2 linked regions of the Nothobranchius furzeri genome follow. The protein of the gene in region 2 purifies or fractionates together with the protein of the main gene of each other region. This does not show direct contact. Links are inferred from orthologs where the notes say so. Each region holds a gene or a part of one and is shown on either strand. Other genes may lie near its edges.

What was found.
Region 1: the proteins of rpl8 (region 2) and ncl purify together in Homo sapiens (affinity purification with mass spectrometry; 3 studies listed by BioGRID and IntAct, with this or other methods). This does not show direct contact. The link is inferred for Nothobranchius furzeri from reciprocal best matches to the Homo sapiens genes RPL8 and NCL.

Annotation. Positions count from the first base shown.
Region 1 is NC_091748.1:62,941,552-62,945,059, reverse strand, and holds the end of ncl (nucleolin), read left to right. Parts: intron 1-107; coding exon 108-191; intron 192-279; coding exon 280-403; intron 404-484; coding exon 485-621; intron 622-735; coding exon 736-862; intron 863-991; coding exon 992-1,128; intron 1,129-1,242; coding exon 1,243-1,372; intron 1,373-1,422; exon of another isoform or gene 1,423-1,557; intron 1,558-1,635; coding exon 1,636-1,787; intron 1,788-1,973; coding exon 1,974-2,100; intron 2,101-2,370; coding exon 2,371-2,627; intron 2,628-2,719; coding exon 2,720-2,784; 3' UTR 2,785-2,943; downstream 2,944-3,508. UniProt on the Homo sapiens protein: Nucleolin is the major nucleolar protein of growing eukaryotic cells. It is found associated with intranucleolar chromatin and pre-ribosomal particles. It induces chromatin decondensation by binding to histone H1.
Region 2 is NC_091754.1:29,838,122-29,842,374, reverse strand, and holds the start of rpl8 (large ribosomal subunit protein uL2), read left to right. Parts: upstream 1-1,327; 5' UTR 1,328-1,408; intron 1,409-2,037; 5' UTR 2,038-2,043; coding exon 2,044-2,181; intron 2,182-2,256; coding exon 2,257-2,398; intron 2,399-4,253. UniProt on the Homo sapiens protein: Component of the large ribosomal subunit. The ribosome is a large ribonucleoprotein complex responsible for the synthesis of proteins in the cell.

The DNA of each region.
Region 1 (3,508 bases), on a different chromosome or scaffold from region 2:
ATATTCGTACTGGAACTTGACTCAAAAATTAAGTTTTAATATGTGAGATTATCAGAGCGTCAGACTCTGCTTTCCTTGTTATGAGAGCTGTAACCTTTTCTCCTCAGAACCTCCAGCAAAACCTCAAAAGAGGAAGGCAGAGACCAAAAAGCAGGAGACTCCTGCTAAAAAAGCAAAGTCGGATGGTGAAGGTAAGACATGTTTATGAATTTTCATCGTGATTACAAACCATCACAACTCTGATGCAGTCTGACAATGACACAATTTTCTTATCAACAGGTTTCAGCCTTTTTATCGGAAATCTAAACTCCAGCAAAGACTTCGATGAACTCAAGGATGGGCTGAGAAAATTCTTCACCAAAAACAGTCTGGAGATCGTGGATGTTCGACTTGGGGGATCAAAGTAGGCCTTGGGCAGATTTTTATTTTTTATTTATTTTTTCCTAAACTGTCAGTAATAATTGTTGTGGTTTACTTCGTCTAGGAAATTTGGCTATGTGGACTTTGCATCCGAGGAAGACCTCAACAAAGCACTGGAGCTCAATGGCAAGAAGTTCATGGGTCTGGAGTTGAGGATGGACAAGGCTCGCAGCAAAGAAAACGCACAGGAGGGCAAGAAAGGTGAATGATGACGTCATGATGTTACTGAATTGGTGATAAATACTTGTGAGCTGTCGGCATCTTACTTGGCTGCCCAGAAATTGTTCCTAAGTTTATTTCCATTGTGTCCTACAGAGAGGGACGCCCGGACGTTGTTTGTGAAAAACCTTTCCTTCTCTGCTACGGTTGATGACCTGAAGGAGGTTTTTGAAGATGCTGTTGATGTGCGGTTACCTCAAGGCCAAAACGGTTCCAACAGAGGGTAAGAGGAAGATGAGCGATCCTGATTACTTCAGAAATGTTGGTTTACGGGGAGATGTGGCGTGTAATTCCAGAGTTCCTCCACATTCTCCTTTAATCAGATCTGCTCTAATAAACACTGTTTTTACAGTATTGCCTACATTGAGTTCAAAACCGAGGCTGAAGCAGAGAAGATGATGGGGGAGGCTCAGGGTGCTGAAGTTCAGGGAAGGTCAATCATGGTCGACTATGTTGGAGAGAAAAGCCAGAAAGGAAGCAGAGTATCAAGTAAGCTTCTCGTGGTATTAAACATCTCATGTTTCTGTCTTTATATCTTCGTGATGTGTTTCTAGAATACGATTGTGTCTGATTGCGTTCTTCTTCCCTTCTCTTGCTGTGTAGCGTCAGGCGCCGCCAACAAGACACTGGTGGTGAATAATCTCGCCTTCAGCGCCACAGAAGAAGTGTTGCAGTCCACCTTTGAGAAAGCTGCATCCATCAGGATTCCACAGAGAGACGGCAGGCCTAAAGGGTGAGTATTAGTTTGGCTAACTTTGTGGATCTGTTGGGTGATCCAAAACAACCTTCTCATGAGCTCCTCTTAATCCTATCGGTGATTATGCACGGATTCGCACGAGAAGCAGAGCCAAAGCACAGTCGAAACAGACTTAGCCCTGTCTGCAGGCGGGTTTTGTCCATGTCCGCTGTGCAACAAGTGACCAAGTAAAATTGTAAATGTAAAAACTGCTATTGTCTTTTATTAATGTTTCTCTTTTTTTCTGCTTCTGTCTCTAGGTTTGCCTTTATTGAGTTTGAAAGCACTGAAGACGCCAAGGAAGCTCTGGAGAACCTAAACAATACAGAAATTGAAGGCAGGACCATCCGGCTGGAGTACAGCCAGAACAGCGGGGGAAGAGATGGCGGTGGCGGCGGCAGGGGAAACTCCGGTACATCTCCAATACTAATACTATCTCTCATAGTTGTGACCAGATGTGATGAGCCAGTGATCTCCCGATCCTCTGTGAAGATTCAAAAGATAGTCAAGTACTGATCAGGTCTCATTAGTGACCTCGTCGTGTGAAAGCTGGTCTTTATGTTCATATCGTGATACTTCTTGTGCTTTCCTCCATCAGGTCCAACAAAGACTCTTTTTGTGAAGGGTCTCTCTGAGGACACCACAGATCAGACCCTCAGGGATTCCTTCGATGGCGCCGTAGGAGCCAGGATAGTCACAGACAGGGACACCGGTTCGTCTAAAGGGTACGTACGAGGAGAGCTCCGTGTCTCAGAGCTTCTCGTGAGCGTCGCTTTGTCTCTGTGGCATATTGTGGGTTCACTTGAGAAGTAGAGTGAAGTCGCAGTTAAACAGACGGCTTCCTGAGTGGAATCTGTCCATGTCTGATGTGAGACAATTTCATATTTCACACGCTAACACGAACTGAAATAGAATAATTTATTTTTTCTGCATTAACAGAATTCTGCTCATTAAAGAGCGTTAGCTGCTGTTCTAACTGAGCAATTCTTCAACAGCTTTGGCTTTGTGGACTTTGACAACGAGAACGACTGCAAGGCAGCAAAGGAGGCGATGGAAGACGGTGAAATAGACGGCAGCAGGGTGACCCTGGATTACGCCAGGCCCAAGGGTGAAGGCGGCTTCCGTGGAGGCAGAGGGGGTGGTGGTGGAGGTCGTGGCGGGTTCAGAGGAGGCCGCGGCGGGTTTGGAGGCCGAGGGGGTGGCAGAGGAGGAGGAAGGGGTGGTCGAGGAGGCGGACGAGGTGGCTTTGGGGGTAAGCGATGGTCATGATGGTACTTGGACTTGAGTATTTCAGCTTTGTGTTACTTGCTGGGTATTGAACTGTTGGATTTGTGTTCCCTTTAGGTGGGCGAGGTGGAGGCGGGTTTGGATCAAAACCCCAGGGGAAGAAAATCAAGTTTGATGACTAAATCCTGGATGTAGTTGTGTTTTGAACAGACTCTGGTTTCATCCGTTTCAGAGCTTTTGGACATTCCAGAAAGCATCATTGGTATATTTATCTGTAAAGGGGCCTTTTTAAGCCCCATGTTTAGACCCTTCACCACCTACTTTACCCTCCTGTGCCAGAATGGTACTTCAGACCGTTTCAACTTTTAGTGCTACGCGTAAAAACAGTATGCTCCAAATGCAAACCTGCACCTCTCGTCATTTTACGCTATCTTTTCCACGGGGAGTAAAATGAAGCGGTTTTGCTGTGAAAAGGAAGCTGTGTAAATTAAAATTTCGTTTTACCTTTTGTAAGAAGAAATTACACCTGTAACCATATTTTTGTTTTTATTTTGTTAGGTAAGTTTTGTTGTGTTGCGTCTTTCATAGTCTAATCCTATAAAGCTGCATTGGTTTGGTGGCTAAAGGAGTCGCAGATGAATTCATTTCTCTGTAACATAAAATGTTTAGACTACGTTGACTGGTTTTTGACCTCTCAACATTTTCACCTGAAATAAAACCTTACAAGAGGTCATTTTTAAATATCTATCAGACTTTGTCATTTTTAGGCAGCAAATCAAAATGGTCTTCTATAAATTATGGAAACAAGACTTCTGTATTGGCAATTGGTTGTATAATTAACAAATTTCTGCTTTAGTCTTTAAAAATCAAGATACGATCTTTTAGTTCTAACTAGGCGTTATAGGG
Region 2 (4,253 bases):
GGAGCTTTTTAACCACCTCAGTGACCTCAGCACCAGAGATTTGAGAGCCCAACTCAAAGTCCCCAGACTCTGCTTCCTCACTGGAAGATGTGACGGTGGGATTAAGGAGGTCTTCGAAGTATTCTGCCCACCGATCCAAAGCGTCCTGAGTAGAGGTCAGGTATCTTATTTTGAAATATCGAAGGTGAAGTAACATTTCAGGAGCGAATAAGAAGAGGGCGTTCCCATTTTTGGAGGGTGCGTTCTCACTTACAAACCAAACTCCTTTTAGTGGCTGGCTGGTGTCAGTACCAGATCTGCTCGTGCAGCCAGATCGGCTCGGGGTACCGCATCTGCAAATTACGTCACAGTAGATGATTGGCTGAACGTAAGACTTGCAGAAGTTACGATACCACATCCGTAAAAGTTATGTTAGCACATTGACAATGATGATTTTGATTGGTCAGAATGAATTTACGGTTGTAGTCTTAGTGGCTGTAGTCCTGTAGTCCCAAAATCAACACTTTTCGGAGAAAATGTGTTTGAATTTCCAAAGTAAATGTAAAATAAAATGCAAAGATATCAACTGATATCAAAGTCTCAAAAGCTCTTGATTTTTATGAAATATAGGGCAAAATAAAATTTAAGAACTTTACTGAAAAGACACCAAGCAACATTTTGAATGAATGAATGAATTAATTAATTAATTAATTAATTAATTAATTAATTAATTAATTAATTAATTAATTAATTAATTAATTTACATAGCAGCTAAGGAAAAATACAGACTAATTCCACATTTATACAAACAGATGTGGCTTCACATATATGAACTGTTGTCTTTTTTGGCAGTCTGACGGTTTTATGTAGTTTCACGTTCTGTATAAAACAAATATAATATGGTGTTTTATTAATAAATTACAATTATAAAGAAAACATTTAGGTAGTAGCAAACAAGAATTTATTAACAAAACTGCTGATCTGGTACCAGATCTGACAGATGATATTTATCACTGCACACAACCATTGTGTAAACACTGTTACATAGATATAAATTGAATTGTGTTTTTAGGTAAACGAAATAAGAAAAAGACAAAGACTTTATTATTGTAAAAACGATAGTAATGATTTTAAAGGTTTTGTCACCAAGCACCAACAAAGCTCAGAATTGTTGTCTACAAACCTGAGTGACTTTTGAATAAAATTGAATAATTGCAGACAACAGTTGGGATCCTGGCCTTCTCTAATCAGAATTAAACAGCATTTTGAATATTTTTTGAGTTCCATACAACTGCATTCTGAATTAAATTGACCATCTGTCTAGTTCGCGCCTTTAAAGAATACATTTCCCATCATTCCCTTAGTAGTTTCCCCGGAAGAAAACGTGCGATGTTTCTTTGTGCTTCCTCTTTCCGTCAGCGGAGTTTAGGTACGACAGCTATTTTCTGCTTCTCACCGTTTCATCGCTTGTTAATCATGACTTTTCTGTGTCATCCACATCAAACTAATACTTATATGTGTACACAAAATGTTCACATATTTAATTTAGGTAGCATTTTAACAGTTGGCTTGTCAAAAGCTATATTAAACTATTTTAAGTGCTTGGTGACATGGCGGAGTGGTAGCGCTGTTAGCGACTAAAAGGCCGGCTACTGTGCTTCACCAATTTGTGTTTTTAAGATGTACGGTACTTTAATCAAGGCGATGGAGAAATAAGATTGTAAATTAAAAGACTACACGTAAATCTTCGCTCACTGTTTAATGAACGGTGTTAGCGGTATTAGCTACTAAGCTAACACCGTAAAAGATGTTGTGGACATGTGAAGTTAAACCTGCTTTCATATGGCCCTAACAGCGGAAATATATAATAGTTTTTCTAACATTCCCTCTGTCAAAATCTTAATGTTTTTGTCCCAATACCTCAAACGTTTATGTAAAATTGACTATTAGTTTAAGAGTGTTTAAAAATGACAGGGTGAGCGTTGTTAGCCTTGCAAAGCATTGATTTGTAAAATTCCAATTAAATGTGGCCCTGAAGTACTCTGCTGTCTGTTTCAGAACACGATGGGACGTGTGATCAGGGGACAGAGAAAAGGTGCAGGCTCTGTGTTCAGAGCCCACGTTAAGCACAGGAAAGGTGCTGCTAAACTCCGTCACATTGACTTCGCTGAACGCCATGGTTACATCAAGGGGATTGTGAAGGTGGGTGATGCTTCAGAACTGGTTTTGGTCTTGTAGAGTGAGGCTGGTGTGAAGTTTTATACCTGATCCTCTCAGGATATCATCCATGACCCTGGCCGTGGTGCTCCCCTTGCCAAAGTGGCTTTCCGTGACCCATACCGGTTCAAGAAAAGGACAGAGCTCTTCATCGCTGCTGAGGGAATTCACACTGGACAGTTCATCTACTGCGGCAAGAAGGGTACGAAACTAAAGCTCCTTTCACTATTTAGATTTTGCATCCCAGGTACCCTTCACAGGTGCAGTATGTAAGAATAAAGTGAGCATTTTACAGTGAGAAAATCTCAAAAGAGTCAACATTTCAGTCATTTTGGAAGGACGGTTTTACTGAAACATATTTCATATCTAGATGGCTGTGAGGAATGTCAGTTTTTTTCCCTTTCAAAATAAAGGAAGGAGGGACATAACTACTTTTTACCATCAGTGAGTGTATATAATCAACAATGTTGATTATATATTTCTTCATCAAGTTGACGCAGTGATAGCTTGATCTTGTATTGTTGTTGTGTCCCATAATTTTTAGTTTTTTTTTTCTTGCCTCTTTCTGCAGGTCTAGAAGCAGACTCTTGTTCATTATTGTTTATTTTTGTGGACCCCCTTCCCCCTCTCTTCCCACCTTTTGTCTTTTCCTTTCTCTTTCACCTCTGTCTCCATGTTTGGTCGGAATTACAAAGCATTTAAAAACAATAACAAAGTTTTAAGTATCAGGCATGACATTAGAAGCAGACGCTTTGATGATCCACCTGAGAGTAAATCTGTAAGGCTTGTTACCAGCATTCAGACATCAATTCTGTTTGCTTCACAGCCAGACGGGACACGGTTAAAAAATAATAATGAGAGTTCCCAGACCCCTTCTCTGTGCAGAATTAAACAGAGGAGTCTGGCAGGCCAGGCTAGCCTGGTAAAGTCATAATATGCAAATTAAATGAGTGAATTTGCTCCCAACACAAACTTAAGTCTTACTGAAGATTTTTCTCTTACAGTTCACCTTTATCTCTATTTCCAAGCCACAACCTTTTGAAATTGTCATGTCAAAATTAGGGCTGAGTGTTTCTGGAAAGTAATCTAATTGCAAGTTTTTTTCTTCGATATTGCAATTGCGATTTAATTCATGATTATTTTCAACTAAGGAAACAAAAAAGAATTGGCATCCCTGTGGGTTTTTCCATGATATTAGCATTGTGCTAACCACTCGCTGCCAGTCAAATCGCAGTCTTTGTGATTAGAAAATAGTCACATCGCAATTTAATTGCATATGCAGTCAATCGTTCAGCTTGAGTCAAAATTAATTATGATCTTGAAAAAAAACTGGCGCCCAAATGGTTACGTTTAAATCTGGTCTGTGAGATTCCTTAATGCCTGTTTTCAATTGTATAGAACATTTGATGGTCCAGCCCTAAACAATTGGGTACATTTTCCAGAAGACCTTCACAATCTTCTTCAAAGGATATGCAAAATGTAGCTTTATGCAGACCTGTCTGTTAGCTGATTAGAAATACAATAATTTAATCAAGGTGTGTACTTGTTTTTCAATTTGAAGCTGTGCGAAAACTGTTAATTTATTCAGCTTTAAGAGGAAGTTTCACTGGTGTCGTGCTTTGCTTAAAATGAACACTTTTGTTGTTAAATCACATTCATGTTTGTTTTTAAATCTTCTCCTGTGTGTTTGGTTTATTTTACAGAAACTAATTTAGCCTCAATATAGGGCTGGGCGATATGGCCTCAAATCTGTATTGTGATATAATCTGAAGCATGTGCAGTAACGATATATATTGCGATATATTTTTTCCTCTGTTTATATATGTCAAAATGACATGCTTTTAGATATCCTCATGTGGCAAATATATGCCACTTGAGGCATATAGGCCTCCTCCTCCGCCCACTCCATGCTTGCAGTCACCGCCATTCTGTTGTCCCATTGTCAGCAGGGTGCTCATCTTAGTGACGTCATGTGTTATCGCGGTATTGCGATATAGCCAAAAACTATCATTACCCAATTTTATATAGTTTCTACCTTATATTGCCCACCCCACCTC